Lonchura striata: one gene and its partner. The protein of the gene in region 2 interacts with the protein of the main gene of each other region in a biochemical or structural test. Links are inferred from orthologs where the notes say so. Each region holds a gene or a part of one and is shown on either strand. Other genes may lie near its edges. The genes, in order: PTGS2 and CAV1.

The links.
Region 1: the proteins of CAV1 (region 2) and PTGS2 form a complex in vitro, tested with the Homo sapiens proteins (2 studies listed by BioGRID). The link is inferred for Lonchura striata from reciprocal best matches to the Homo sapiens genes CAV1 and PTGS2.

Annotation. Positions count from the first base shown.
Region 1 is NC_134611.1:28,632,441-28,640,609, forward strand, and holds the start of PTGS2 (prostaglandin G/H synthase 2), read right to left. Parts: upstream 3,080-8,169; 5' UTR 3,031-3,079; intron 2,678-3,030; 5' UTR 2,634-2,677; coding exon 2,561-2,633; intron 2,450-2,560; coding exon 2,306-2,449; intron 1,880-2,305; coding exon 1,736-1,879; intron 1,356-1,735; coding exon 1,174-1,355; intron 369-1,173; coding exon 285-368; intron 133-284; coding exon 1-132. UniProt on the Homo sapiens protein: Dual cyclooxygenase and peroxidase in the biosynthesis pathway of prostanoids, a class of C20 oxylipins mainly derived from arachidonate ((5Z,8Z,11Z,14Z)-eicosatetraenoate, AA, C20:4(n-6)), with a particular role in the inflammatory response.
Region 2 is NC_134607.1:34,682,747-34,689,867, forward strand, and holds the start of CAV1 (caveolin-1), read right to left. Parts: upstream 3,251-7,121; 5' UTR 3,127-3,250; coding exon 3,097-3,126; intron 2,332-3,096; coding exon 2,167-2,331; intron 1-2,166. UniProt on the Homo sapiens protein: May act as a scaffolding protein within caveolar membranes. Forms a stable heterooligomeric complex with CAV2 that targets to lipid rafts and drives caveolae formation. Mediates the recruitment of CAVIN proteins (CAVIN1/2/3/4) to the caveolae.

The DNA of each region.
Region 1 (8,169 bases), on a different chromosome or scaffold from region 2:
CATCAGCCCTGGCACCAGCCCGAACACCTCCTGCCCCACGGAGAAGCGCAGGTGCTCGGGCACGTGCGGTGGGTACAGCATCTCTGCCTGCGTGTCCCGCACCGTCGGCGGGTACATTTCTCCATCGATCATCTGCGCGAGGGGGAAACAACAGAAGCTGTGAGCTCTGATACTTTGGGTAAGCTCTGACTCACACTTTAGATCACCTACACCATTGGCACAGCACTAATTTAGGAAATCTATGCCATCCAGTAAGAAGGTAGGAATTCTGAGCTAAGACATACCTGGTATTTTAGCTTTCCATCCTTTCGAAGCCTCAGTTTAAGTTGTCTCTCCAGAGTCTCTCCATAAACGTGGTTCAAGTCAACCTATAAAATAAAAGCATTTGGAACATGAAGCTAACCTGCATTTTTTTCTATTTTAGGATAAGTCCCTCTTCTATGGATAACAATAGGAGTTCACCCTCTAGATGTTTACCTTTCAATTATACTACTGCTACCTTATAAGTATCATGCACCGATATTTAAGATGAAGCCAAATTATTTCCTGGCAACTGGAGCCACCTCTGCATAAGAGGAGGTTGTTACATCAGTAATATAAAAGGACTCTGTTTAAAGTGTCAGCAATTTTTTATTATGCAGACAGCTTTCTATATATACACACACAATTTAACTTTGGTTTGGACATAAGAGTGACACTTATAGTAAAGAACTCTTTGTCCAAAGGATGCCTATCTTGCAGAGAAAATTTTAAATCCAAGTCTGCTTTTGAAGTTCTTTTTAAACTAAGGGTATTGGCGGTAAATAAGCAATACTTAAATGCTGGATACGGCTCTTTGGAACTGACAGAGTCCAGAGAAGTTTTGGATACTCACTACCATCTACTCACTACTATCTAACTGAAAGCAGATTTTTGGGAACAATAAGAGATCACTGGGCAGGTATTTCAAACAGAACCACTTGTGCAGAGCACGCGGTTCTGAGCCGGGAAGAGATGCTGCCGAACACTGGAATTTGGCCTGAGGAGCAGTTAGAAAGAGGTAATCCCACGGAATTGTGGCACAGTGTGTGCACAGGTGTTTGTGTCCCCTGGCAACAGAGGATGCCATTCTGGCCATTCCAGCACTCAGCAGCTCCCAAAGAGCACGAGTCCCGTCCCCAGCCGTGACCGTACCCCGTGGCCGAGCGCTCTGGTGAAGGCAGGACCCCGCTTCTGGTCCGTCTTGAAGAACTGGTGGGTGAAGTGCTGGGCAAAGAACGTGAACATCACGTTTGTGCCTTGCGGGTCGGGAATAAACTTTCTCCTCAGCAAAAACTTCTCCACGATCAGCTTCGAATCCGGGAGCTCTTTCTTACCTGTGGGAGAAACAGACAGTGAGATACTTAAGACAACCCTTTATGCAATACTGAAGTTTGTTCCTAAGAAAAGGGCTTAAGACCTTCAGTGGAACATAATGACAGTGGCATACAAACAAGGAGAATTACCTACTTTTCTAAGCTCGCTTTCTTGATTTTATTAGAAATTTCTAAATTCCCTGCTTTTAGCATGTAACTCAATAGCAAGAACCAGAATAATATCTTTTAGATATTTAAACAATATATGCAAAACATGGTTATTCCTGAAGTCAACTACACAGAAAAAAGGCTACAGACAAGCAGGTCTCATAGGAACTACTACTTATTTTTTCCTCTTAGAAAAGACCAAGCAATCATTACGTGTCTGGCTTATTTCTCACCTTTAACACCCATTGGAGTTGGGCAGTCAAGTCCTACTGGTGGAAGGCTTCTTGTGTAGTAGGAAAGATTGGAATAAGCTTCCCAGCTTTTGTAACTGTAGTCACTATTGTAAGTTGGTGGGCTGTCAATCAAGTGTGATCTTGCTGAAAGACAAATAAATATTTGGTTATTTTTAACTGTACAGTTTAGTCTCAAAAAGTAAATCACAAAGTCAGATCTTTTGCATATATTTGGCAGCAGGTGTAAATTCCACACATATCAGTTACTGATGTTAAATATGATTACAGTTACTGAATAACAGGACTGGATTCTGGCTGATCAGCTGGATCTCACTATTAACATGAGCAATGGGGCGCCAAGTTCATGTCGGCAAAATCCTGAACTCTTGCAGAAAGCAGAATCAAGCTGCACTTCAGCATGTTTCATACAAGCCTGCACCATGCAGAAATCTTAAATTTTGGTCTTTTAACTTCAGTGCAATTTAGGCTGCTTGGTTTGTAGACAGATCAATTCAGTACAATATTCTGAAGTAAAATTTAAGATGACTGGAAGAGACAATTTACACTTACACGTTAGTACATATCTCATAATAGCGTCCCTTAGGAAGGGAATGTTGTTGATGATATTCCAGACTCCTTGGAAGTGGGTGAGGATGTAGTGGACAGTGTTTGGCGATGGTTTCAGTGCTAGCCTCAGCCAGGTGAAGAATTCCGCTGCGAACGACAGTGGGCAGGTTATTATCATTTAGCTTATGGAGGCTATCCTGCGATGCTGGAATTGGCCAGCGCGTTTCATTCCCACGGAGAGGGGTGTGCGATACTCACGTGTGCTGCAGTTCTGCCCGTAGTAGCCTGTCCTGGTGCAGTCGCACTCGTAGCGATCCGGCCCAGCGGTCATGCAGACGCCTCTGTTCTGGCAGGGGTTCGAGCAGCAAGGGTTGGCTGCGGGGGAACCAGAGCTCGGGTTAGCATCTCCGCAATAATTCCCACCTTGTCAGGACTTCATACAGCAAACGAGAACGCCCTGGAGCTCAACGCTGATCAGGGAGGCATCACATCACAGCGACCATCCATCCACCTCTGGGCTACCAGGGAGCAGCTCGGAAAAAGTGAGGTATGCAGGGATTCACCTCTCGTCTGCTGCCAGCAATAACCCCGCTCAGAAGGCGAGATCATCCCTCACAGGCCAGCGGGGACCTGGCTCCCACACACAGCAGAGAAATGACAAGCGAGCGAGGAGCAGGAGAAGCAGAAAGGCAAAGCGCGCGTCGCCGCGGAGCGCGGCGCGGACTCACCGGCGCGGCCGGCGGCCAGCAGCGCGGCCAGCAGGGCCAGGGGCAGCAGCGGCATGGCGGGGCTGGGCTGGCGGGGCTGGCTCCCCGGGGCTCGAGCTGGCAGCTCCAAGTGCCGGCCTCCGCCGCGCATCCCCTATTTATGGCAGCGCCGAGCGGGGCAGGCTGACTCACTAGCCCGGAAGCGCGGGGAGAGCAGGGGATTTCTCGGCCCGCCCCGGCCCGCCCCGGCCGGCCGCGCTCGGGGCAGGTGTGAGGGCCGGGCTGGCAGCGGCTGAGGGGCGGCGGGGCGCTGGCCCCGCGCCGCGCCGCTCCCGGCTTCACCATCGCCTTAATTCAGCCGGCAGCGCTGCCAAGGGAAGGAATGCTGCAGGGACGTTAGTTTTAGTTGAGTTTCACGGAATTTAGCGTGTCTGGCGAGACCAGCTCCTGTTATTTGGCATTTTTGGCACAAATAGTGGCTTTCCCCCAGTACTTTTCCGTTAAATTCCCACTCTCCACCTCCTACCCCCCCTTATAGTTGCGCTGTAAACAAAATTTCCCCAATTTCCTTGAGGATACGTTATCTTTTGGTCATAGATTATTTTGTTATTAACCAGAATGCTTTGCTACTATTTTTAGTGCCTGTTGCGTGAGGGATTACAATGAAAGCAGGAGGATGTCATGCCGTTGTGCAACCCTGCAGTGCGGAGCTGCACTTTCGCCCTCCGGGTCGGCATTAAACACCAAAAACTCATAGTGGCTTCAGCAAGGATAGCTTGAGAGGCTGATGGTGTTTGAATTGCAAATCCGTGGCTTGACGGAAAGTGGATTCAGGCCGATTTAAACATAATCTTATTTTTGGCCCCAAAGCGTATTGTGGTCAGTGAGTAATTTGTGTACATTAGTAGTGAGTCTTTCTGGATGTTTTAAGACTGGTACACAAAAAGCTGCATAATCAAGAGAAGGCAGATAATATTTCTTTATACATTTGCATGCAGAAACCACGGGCTGGGTCATCAGAGGATGTCTGCCAACCCAGTTGAACTGGGAGCCTGTGGCCACAGCCACGTTTTGCTCAGTCTTATCAAGTGTAAAAAGGGTGATATTTTTTCTTGCATAAGCCAAATCAATTAAATATGGAATGTTGGTTATCCAGTGGATCAGGCTATGGCATGCATAGCACCGTAGCTCAAGGGTCTACACACATTTTCATACATTTCATATGTCCATCTCACACTGATTTTGTTCCATCTCACAAAACTTCTGCGGATGCTGTCACATGATAAGACTTTATTGCAAACATCAGGCAAGTGAGACATTGTGTTTAAATAACATGCATAGGAAAATGTTTCTAGAGTGTAAGACCAGCAACATTAAGGGGGAAACTGAAGTAATTCTGTGCAGCCAGACAACCGCCCCTAAAATGATAATCCAAAGGTAACTGTGCTATGATTTAGAGGAGATATAAATAAGTGATGATGCTTAAAGTTTTTAATTATTATAATTAATCAGTATGTAAACCAAGAGCCAGGGCAGAACTCCAGGCTTTGGAGGGGATGTTTCTCCTAGAGAAGCAGTACTTCTGCAACTAGAAAACCAGTCAGCACCCCCCCGCTTCCACCCAATGCTGCAGTTAATGTGACGTGATCTCTCTTGAGTCTGATTTTGGCTGGGGAAGGTCACTTGTGTCACTGTCACTGTCAGCTGCAGTAGAATTGAAGGGATTCTTCAGCTTTCCAAAATAGTGAAAAATCAGGGAGATACAATAGTGCTGCTTCTCAGAAGGCTGCCCTTCCCTACTTATTGCTTTGGGATTATCTTGGGTAAAGAACTGATTATATGTTGGAAAGGGAATTTTTCTCAGGAATGCAAGTTTGCTGTGGCAAGATTCACCACCAGGTGGAGATTTCATGCATCAACAAAGTGCTCTTTGCGTTTCTAGCACATAAACCATCTTTGCTAAGAATTAATGTTATTTTTCTTTCTGTTACTTGAAGTACCTTTTGGTCCAGGTCAGAGCAGCCTGTGGAACAGAGAACCTTCGTCAACCTCAGCCTTTTTGCATTTACTGACATTTCTACAGGAGGCAATTCCCTGAAGCTATTCCTGTTTCTATTTTAGGTTTAACTGCATAAATTCACACCTTTCCAAGGCAAAGGTTCAGGACAGAGGATGCAGTGACCTGTAAGGATTGACTTGCTTCAGTAATGCCACCAAAAGAAAGGGAGATGGAGTGGCAACAGGGAAAACATTGTCCCTCAGCACTGGTGCTGCTCCATTTTGCAATGGGTCAGCTGAACCCAGCTGAATTAGCACTGAATTTAGCCTTTTTAATGTATTTAAAATATTTTCCCTCCCTCCGTGACTGTGGCAATCTCATGTTTTATAGCACAGTACTTTCCTGGGAAATGAATCCGTTTCATTTGCTCTGTGCCTTTTTGCTGCTCTTTTTTGACAGAAGGAGCTCAATCTGAAATTTGTTGTCAGTTTGGATACGTTGCTCCCAATGCAAGCACAATCCAAGGCTCATTGGACAGGGATACAATGACAATCCTGGATGCTCCGACAACGTTCTCGAGAACTGAGGGATCTCCAGGGGAAGTTGATGTCTTTAGGCTCCTGATTTTGCCTTTTACAGTATTAACAGAAGGGTTTGATTATGAAATTGCTTTGTGCTTTCAGGGGATCACCCTGGCTAGACAACTAGGCTCTACTTCCCCGTGTCTTCCTGCTGTGTCCTTGTGGAGCACTCTGATCACTTGAGACCCAGTTTCATTGGCATCCTGGGTTGTGCTGGAAAACAAAAATACTCATTACCTGGTTTGGAGACAAGGGAGGTTTGCTTATTTTCCACAGGAAAATTGCAGTAAAAAGGTGCCTCGTTTATGGAGTTTCCAGGCTATCGCAATTTTGGAATTGTTCAGAACAATTCCAGGCAAAACTACGTATTAATATAGAGGGTGTGAGAGCTGGGAGCTGGAGTGCCTTGCCCTCAGGAGAAATCCCATGGACAGTGATTGGCAAGGAATGTTTGTGCATGGGCTGGGGCTGCTGGCACACACCTGTTGCAGGGGGAATAGGAAGGTGAGCTGGGACCTCACCTCAGGGGGACACCTGTGGACACCAGTCATTGTGTAGGGAAACGCAGCATACCTTGTTATCCAAATCAACTTCAGTTGGAGTTGTTTTTATTCCTGGAATTATATTTTTTAAAATGTGCAAGAAAAAAAAAATATAGGTGGGTGCACAAAAATCTACATCTGACTTAGGCAAGACCTGAGCAAGTTTGAGTCCCCCCCTTTTTTTATCCTTTTTAAGAGCAGCTTCCCTTTGGACTTCAGCTGCTGGAACAAAAAACATAAATCCACACTTTGTGTTTTATTTGCAAGCCAGTGAGAGTTTTGAGGAATGCTTTCCAATATGATAGATTTTATTTTATCATTAACATCTGCATAGAGTAAACCTTGCTCAACAAACCCTTTCCAAGCCTCTGTTTTTAATAACGTCTCTGAGTTCTTGTTTTAATTCTGTGGCATTCTTGACAGACTCAGTTACGAGTCAAAGACTGTAATGAAACAGGTGAGAAGAGTGACTTTACATCAGATTTACCTGCAGAGATGAGACGTGAAATGAGGTTTCTGTACAGTGCTGTGTGGTGCCCAGGTTTCTCCCAGCCTGTTTTTTTTTGCAAATTCTTTGCCAGGTACCTATATGATATCATGACTACAGGGCATCTGCACACTGCTTGGGACATGACACACATCAGTTTGAGTGGAAAAGAGCACAAGAATTGCTCCCTTTTGCCCAGCTTAAATGTGGATCTCTACCTGATCCGAAGCAAGGCTGAGCTCTTTCCCTGGGAGATGCCCAGACACTGAATCCTCATAATTTTAAATGAAAGGGAATGAATGAATGAAGCCCCTGCAGAAATGGCTTTCAGAACTGTGTTTTGTTTGTTCAGATGGGTGTATTAGACGATTCCTTTCCTAATTGTCACTCTTGGTAGTCACAACTTCAGTCCTGCCTGACTAGTCCTTGACAAACAAGCCCTAAATGACTTAAACTCAGCTCGAAGCTCTCTATGACCTTTATCCAAGGAGTGTAGATGAATGGAGGATGAAGCACAACATGTTTATCCTAAATGGTAGTTTGAGGCAGAGGCTGACTGAAAATTCATCCTAGCTACAATCTGTCCCATTTTTAAATTATTTTTTTAGATCACAAGACTTTAAATTAATTTTTATGGTGAATTTAAAGAGGAAGACCATAAACATGAACTATTGGATAAGCATAAGATTTTGGCAGCCACACTCTGGAATAGGCTTGTATATTTTTTTTAACTTTTATTAAATTTTGAATAATTTTTTCAGAGACTTTGTTTGGATACACTCATCTATGGGATTTTTTTTTTCCTATATAAGCTGTATCTGTTAAAATGGAAAATATTTTTCATCGTTTCTTGACTGAAGGAAAGGATGTTTTCTTTATTGGCAATTGTTATTGGCAATTGTTACCAAAGTTAAGCCATGAACTTCCCTGCTCCCGTGATCCTGGGTTTTTTGCAGAGGCCCTGTTTTTCCCCACACAGCCTCCATGTGTTTCGGATGTGGACATTTGATCACAGGCAAGTCTGAAATACGTCATGAGATTTTGTAACTGCCTTACATAAAGAAACGTCAGCTGACATTTTATCTGCTTTTGGTCACCAGCTGCAACTCACATTAAGGTAATTGCTTCTGCTGTGCCATTTTTAGTAAGTATTTAGCCTTTCATTGTATATTGAAAGGCTATCTTTCTGTGGGAAACCTGCACAGAAAACCCTCCTTAGAGAAATTTCCAAATACTTCTCTCCTCAGTGCAGATGCTTGAATTTTCTTTTAGCAACTTCCTGCTTAATTTTAGTGAAATCTGTCATCCAGCCTCATGCTCTTTTGTTGTGCAAATACAATCATGTGGAATTTTCCTTTGCTTCAAGTACATGGATATTAAACTGGATAAGGGAAACTGAGGTGGGTTTTGCTGAGTGGAAAATTATTTTAGTGTAATGCTTTCTTACATAAAACATGCCTTTGGGTATTGAAGTTTATTTAGCTTTATTCATTAATCCAATTTTTCATTCAATTTAAAGAAAGGAAACATTACTTCCGCAAATAAGATTTT
Region 2 (7,121 bases):
CAGCATCCTCAGTTTTCACACTGCAGTGGTGTATTCCTCTCTCCATCTTTCCAGGCTGCATGCAGTGTGATCTGAGAAATGCTTGTTAGGCCTTGGCTTTGGAAACACCACCTGGGCTCAGCTCTTTTCAAGCTTATCAGAAACACTGTCTGCTCCCAGGAATTGCTAACAAGCTGCTGTTTTCCTTATGACCACCCTTGGAAAATATTCCACCTACCTGAATGGCACAACATTCCTGTTTCCACACTTATGGAGAAAGTGAGGACACAAACCCTGAACAGGATGAAACATTGTTATGACAAAAGCCTATAGGCTCTTGCAAGCCTCTAAACAGCAGTCCAAAATGGGACCCTTTGAGGTCTCCTGGACTGCAGCAAGCTACAAACAGCAACCTCCCTCTGAGCGAGATGCCTCTCAGAGCCTCATGTATGGAGGATCACTGAAACAAGCTGTATCCTGGGCCAATATGCACGCTCCTCAAGGCCCAATCCTTTGCCCATTGGGAGATGCAAGAGCATCCAAAGTGAGTATTTGATTGATCTCTGGGGGGAATTTTTCACAGGCACCTTGCTTGCACTGACTCCTCATGTCCTTGTGCATGCCTCTGTGCATATGCTGTAGCAAATCAAAGAAATACTGCTTTCTTAGCTGTCTAAGTACCTTGGTTATCTAAGTAAGTTAGGCAAGTGAGGAAGGTTATGTTAAAAACTCACTTAAATGCTGTTAAGTATTGTTCTTTTGCTAAATTGTTAAACATAAGTTATAAGCTACGTGTTGCTAAGAGTTGTTCTTCTGATGAGTTGCTAACTTCAAAATTATGAATTAGGTTAAATGCTCTTCAGTGTTATTCTCAGTAAATTGCTACAGTTAGGTTAAGTTGTAAATTAAATTTAAGCTATAAAATAGGTATAAGTTAAGTGTTCTTCCTATGTTAAATTGTTAGGCTTAAGGTATAAGTAAAATTGGAGTGCTGTTAAGCTTTCAGGCCCTGTTCCTTTTTATCCTTGCCCACGCTATCTTTTGTCACACACACACCTAAGGGAGCACACACCCCTATATAGTTCTCAGTTCATTACTGTTTTGATTGCCTGGATTTTGTTTGGTTTTCTTGTTGCTTGTTTTCCCTTGTTGTGCCTTGGCTGTCCTATGAGTAGTAGAGTTAGTCTTGCCAATGAATTTTTCGTGCTTTGCCACTTAATATTAAATCTGATTTTTCGTCATATCCTTGCCGATGACTTTTTAACTGATCTCAAACACTCTCGTTCATAACACAAGGATTGTACAAATTTGTCTGTATAAATTCTTTTTCTACAAGAAAAGCAATCTCTGTGATATTTCTGACCAAAGTGACTTCAAGCAAAAATCTCCATCGACCCTGACTTGTCAAAACAGTCAAACTGATTTATAAACCCAAACAAAAAAAATCTAGGCAAGGGCACAGTTAGATTTTGCTTAGCTTGCTTATCATCTTTTGAAGGAAGGGAAAACACCAAAGAGAACAAAACAGAACAAGGACATGAATCCAACCGCCACTAGAATCTCTTGATTTTGCACCCGCCAGGCTTAGAGAGGGCGATCTGGTTTGTGACATCTCCCCGCCCTGCCTCTCTGCGTGCCTTGGGGAAGGAAAATCCTTCCGACGGTGTTACACAAGGTCACGCAACTCATCCCCCCGCTCCCCGGGCGGGACGTCCCGGCTGCAGAGCTGGCTGCCGGCACACACCGCGGGCACACACCGCGGGCACACACCGCGGGCACACACCGCGGGCACACACCGCGGGCACACACGCACCGCGGGCACACACCGCGGGCACACACCGCGGGCACACACGCACCGCGGGCCCCGCCCGGCTGCGGCGAGCCCAGCCCGGAGCGGCCCCGCGGGACAGCGCGGCCAGCCCGAGACGCGGCCGGCCCCGCTCCGCACCGCAGCGAAGAGCTCCGCAGGGCTGCCCTGGCCGCTGCACGCCTCTCTCATGCCCACTCCGCCTTTTCTTTAAAAAAAACCCCAAACCAAACAAAATCCGATCAGCCCCTAGCCCGTTCCCTCCTGTAGCAGGTGGAGGGATGTGGTCCGCGGGCTTCAGCCGTCCTGACAGTTCCCGCGTATCCTGCCTCGGCAGGACTTGGTATCGACCCCCGCGACACCCCGCCTCGCCCCCTCACCTTAACCACGTCGTCGTTGAGGTGCTTGGGGTCTCGGTTGACCAGGTCGATCTCTTTGGTGTGCACATCGTGCACCGCCTTTTCGCTCAGCTCATCTGCCATCATCTTGTTGTTGGGCTTGTAGATGTTGCCCTGCTCCCGGACGGGCGCAGTGTACAGAAAACCCTGCGGAGAGCAGAGGGAGCGCGGGCAGGAGGGGAGAGCCCAGTGAGGCGGGGAGAGGCGGGGAGGGGCGGGGAGGGCAGGGCAGGGCAGGGCCGCTCCGGTCCGCGCAGGAGGGCGGGCTGGGGAGGCGGCCCCGGGTCCCGCGGGCTCCGGGCTGCGGGGCGGCCTCGGCCGGCTATTTAACCGCGGCCGCGGGCGCACACCACACCCCCGCCGTGCCAGGCGCCGGCTCCCGCTCCCGCCGCCAGGCGGCCCCGGCCCCGCGGCGTTGCCCCGGGACGGAGCGAGTGGCCCCTCGCTGGGGTGGGCGCTGGCGTGGCCCCGCGGGCACGGCAGGGAGCGTCCGGGGCTCGCCGCACAGCGCCCTCCCCGTACTGCCCTCGCCCTACCGCCCATGCTGTGCTGACCTGGGCACGGCGCCTGTACCACCCTGACCTCACTATACTTGCCCCTCTCTCTATACCGCCCTTCATTCAGGGCCATCACCGTACCCTCTCCATCCCAGTGCTCTCGCTGTAGAGCTCTCCATACACCGCTCTTCCCGCACGACACCCAGCAGCTCCCCTCCCCGCGCCCCGCCGGGGACGAGCGCCCCGGCTTCCCCTGACCCGCCGCCCCGGCCCGCAGGTGCCCGGCCGTCCGCCCTCCTGCCGCCGAGCCACCCCTCGCCCCGCTGCTCCGATGGGTCAGGGAGCCTGGGGTCCGAGCCGCTGCAGGCAGTCGGCGGCGGGGCAGCATCCTAGCCCCATGGTCCGGTGGTCCTACCTCCGAGTCTACGTATTTGGTGCCGGACATGCTGCCGCGGGCTGCTGACGGCTCTGCCGCGAGTTACTCTGCCCTGTGACTTGTAGGACCGGAGGCAGGACGATTCCGCTGTGCGGAGCGACCGGCCGGGGGAGGTAGCTGCGAGGAGAGGGCTGGCCGCTGGCCAGGGCGGTCCCGGCCTCCGGCCGGGCTGGATGACAGCGGCGGTACGGCCCCGCACACGGCGGGCGGCCGGGAGCCGCCGGGGTGGGAGGGGAAAACAGCCCTGCCCCGGCAACCTGGGATCGGGCGGACCCAGGTCCGTGCGGAGACAGGGACTCGACGGGGAGAGGGACACGGTCTCCTCCGCGAAGTCCGCCCTGGTCCGGCTGCCCACGACCCCCACCCCCGTCAGTGGGACGCGACAGTGGCTGCGTGCGGCAGAGCCACCTGGGCAAGATGGGGGGGTGGAGGGGGTGGGGCAAGGAAGCAGTGAGGAAATGGAAAACTTTAATTGTGTTCAGCATCCAGAGCGAGCGAGGTGTTTGCCGGGCTCCCCTCTGCCGGCTTTGACAATAGTTTACACAGAAGCATCGCTGCTGTAGGAACAATTGTGAAAACTTGGATATACCTGGGATGAAGAAATAGAGATTTTTCTCAATTGGTTCATTTCAAAACTATTCAAATATTTAACACTTCTGCACGTTAACACTGCTCTATTTTTCCCGGGAAGAGATTGATCCATGCATGTCTGCCATGCACATTAACCACTGGGATTAACTTTTAAAGGGGAACAGTGTGACACCATTTTGCCATGCTCTGTTCTCAAGGCTTTTTGTAAGCTCAGGGGCATATGTAGATGTACATGGTATAAATATAAACATTCATCACCGTATTCAAGATGGCTAAGGTTAGTGTCGCAGCATTACTTTACATTTAAAAAATGAATTATATTTCATTTTTTTTGTGTGAATGTGTTTGCAGCTAATAGTGTTGTGTTAGGAAATCAGACTATGGTGAAAGATTTATAACATTAACAGAAAAATTGTGACCTTAGTGTTATGCCATTTAGCACAGAATTGCAGCAGAAAATTCCTAACTGCAGTATATTTGGCTTTGGCGCTTCAACAGAGAAATGACCTCGAAGAAGCCCCTGGCTAAGATGGATTTAGGTGCCACAGATGTAAATAACTGCACCTGTTGGAAATGCAGTCCACATGGACATGTGTTGCTGATACATTGGTAAGCAGTCAACTTTCCTTTATATTGCTTGTAAACTTTGGAACAAATGCCTTGGATGGAAGATTTCCAACTTTCCAAGTTAGTTGTAATTTTTAAAAGTAACTTTTTATTGATGCAATAATTCACTTAAGCCATTGTTAGAATATTTTTGCCTGTCCAAGCTTTTTAGCGTGAATATGCACCCAAATGAGTGTATTAAAGGACACAGACCCTGCAATTTTTCCATCCATCTGAAAAAAAAATTGCAAGACAGTTCTTTGTTTTCATATCCAGGAAATTTTTCAATTAGTCACTGTCTTCCATATGAATCAGAACATTTTGATCCATCATTTAATATGACTCTATATCTCAAGAATGACTTTAAAGAAAGAGAAATAAGAGAGATACTTGTCAATTTGAAATGCTGAATTGATCCTGGAATAGTTTTTCAGAACCACAGTCCCCTTTAAAAAATATTTCTGAATCACACAACACTACTGCAGCTAGAATAATATCATAAACTAGTGGAATTTGTAAGTTTTATGAGATGAATTCCAGAATAGGCTGCATACAAAGTGAAATGAACATTAGCAGTGCTTTCTGGAGCTGGAATATCAAGAGGATAGGCTATTTAGAAAAAGGTATGGGTACTACTAAGCAGTAAGAGTGAGCAAGTTACATCTGCAGAGATGGAAAGGGATGAAGCCATGGCCTGTTGCCTCTAGCACTGCTGCATGAGAAATACACACTAACTCAACAGCCAGAGACCTGTGGCATGGATGCACACAGGTACAACCAACTCCTATGGCATGAATGCACACAGGAGTTCTGCAAGGATCCCCTGTTACACTCAGAGGAAGAGTAATAGCTCAATGGGAAAGAGCCTTGCAGAAATGTTCTGAAAGTGCAAAGGCTCCATTCCCCTTCTCAGTTACTATGAATAGATTATCCAGGGGTGGCCAGAAATTACCAGAAATTGTAAACACTCAAACTGGCCTTTGAAACACCAGCCAGTCTTCTCATGGAGCTTTGCTGTGTCTTTAGTAGTCCAGGTCAATTGCTAAGCAGGACTACATGACACCTTGGTTGGCCACCTCACTGCCTTTCTTCATCACGCCAGCCTTACGCATTTCATACCTATTTTAAAGAAATTTTTATTGCTTCAAAACCTTTTTACTGAAATTTCAAACCTCAGGATTACCTTAGTTAAAAACTTGCTCTAAACCTGGAGCAATGTGCAATTTATGATTTTTTTTTTTCCACTTTGAGGGGAGAAAAAGTTTTGTTACGGGTAGTATTCCCAGAAACCAGTGGGGGAAAAAAAAAGGATTTAACAAAACCCCTCAAAAACTGGCAGAAAATTAGTTATGAAACTGACTTGAATGTGGATGACTGCTCACTGTCTTTGTCAGGTAACAAACACTCCTTCTTTCTCCATTCCTCACCCCCCTTTTTGTTTTAAGCTTGTGTAGTTATTCCAGTTATGGTATTAGCAACACTCCTGATATATTCCAATGTCAGCAAGATCGAAATCAACCCTGGGAAACTGTTTCCTTTATGTATAGTTTCAACACCAACAAGGCTGTCAGGTAACAGAGGCAGTCCATGAGCAGCCTGCCTTACGCAGAGCACTTAAAAACCTGAGGCTTAGGAGTGAAAGATCATTGCTTGTGTGTCTTCTGTTCAACTCTTAACCACATCATTTTATGTATGGTTTTGTATGTTTTGCTGGATAAAAGCCTTAGCTGCCAAAACTGTTGGTACTGAGTTTTTAGCAGTCTTGCTACTGTTTTCACCCTGTTGTGCATGATAACAAGCATTAGGATAGGATTAGCATGCAGGCCAATGTTTTCCTCATTCCATTATTTAAAGACTTGTAGTCCTAGAGGATTCATGGTGGTCATGCCGCCCCCACTCTCTGGAGGGGTTCTGTATTTTAAAATGTAAATCACTGGATCAGAATTTTCCTATAGAGACAGGTTCCCCTCACCCTAGTATACAGGGCTGCAGGTTCACGTACACATTTGGTATTTGGCCTGTTTGTGCCATTAATCCAAGGATTAGTTATAGCTGGAGAGATGGGTAGCTCTTCTCACATTCCTTCTGTCTCACAACTTCTAGATAGGAGTGATTTCATTTTATGTGCAAGTGATGCTGCCACAAAGCATTTCACAATAGCCTAAGGGCTAGAAGACTCAAGCCAACACCTGAGAAACCTGAAATCAATTTTTGCCTGAGGCATGCCACTGCATTTGGACTCACTCCTGGGAAACTGTATTTTGGGAAGTACCTTATTCTGCTGATACACAGTTAAGTATATTTTGAGGAGTCTAAGGCCCCCCTTTTGGGGTTCTGACTGGGCTTAGATGAGAAAGATGCCAAGTTGCTCAAATAAGGGCAGTTCTGGGCATGACAAAAGTAAAACTGTAGGCATTGTGGGGGGTTATGGGAAAGGGAGGTGCCTTTTGAGTTCAGACATGTTCCTGGTGGGTGGCAGCTGGGCAGGGATTACAGTTTTGGATCAAAATGCATGGCTTTTTCTGCTCTCAGTCTTTTATTAGAGCTAGCCCCTGTAGGTCTTTATCAAGATAGCTTGTAACTGCCTTGACTGGAGAGGCAAATAGATAGAAAGCTTTATTTCTGCAAGACTGTAAAACTTAGTCACTCATTCTCAACCCTTTTCAGTATCAAATACCTTGAAAACTGAGCTGGTCTGTGAACAGTGGTCTATGTCAATGCTGGTCTGTACCTTTCTTCTAGTTCTACAGTATTATTAAATGTTCATGTGTTTTATAGAAAATGTCAGACTATGAGAACTTGTCTCA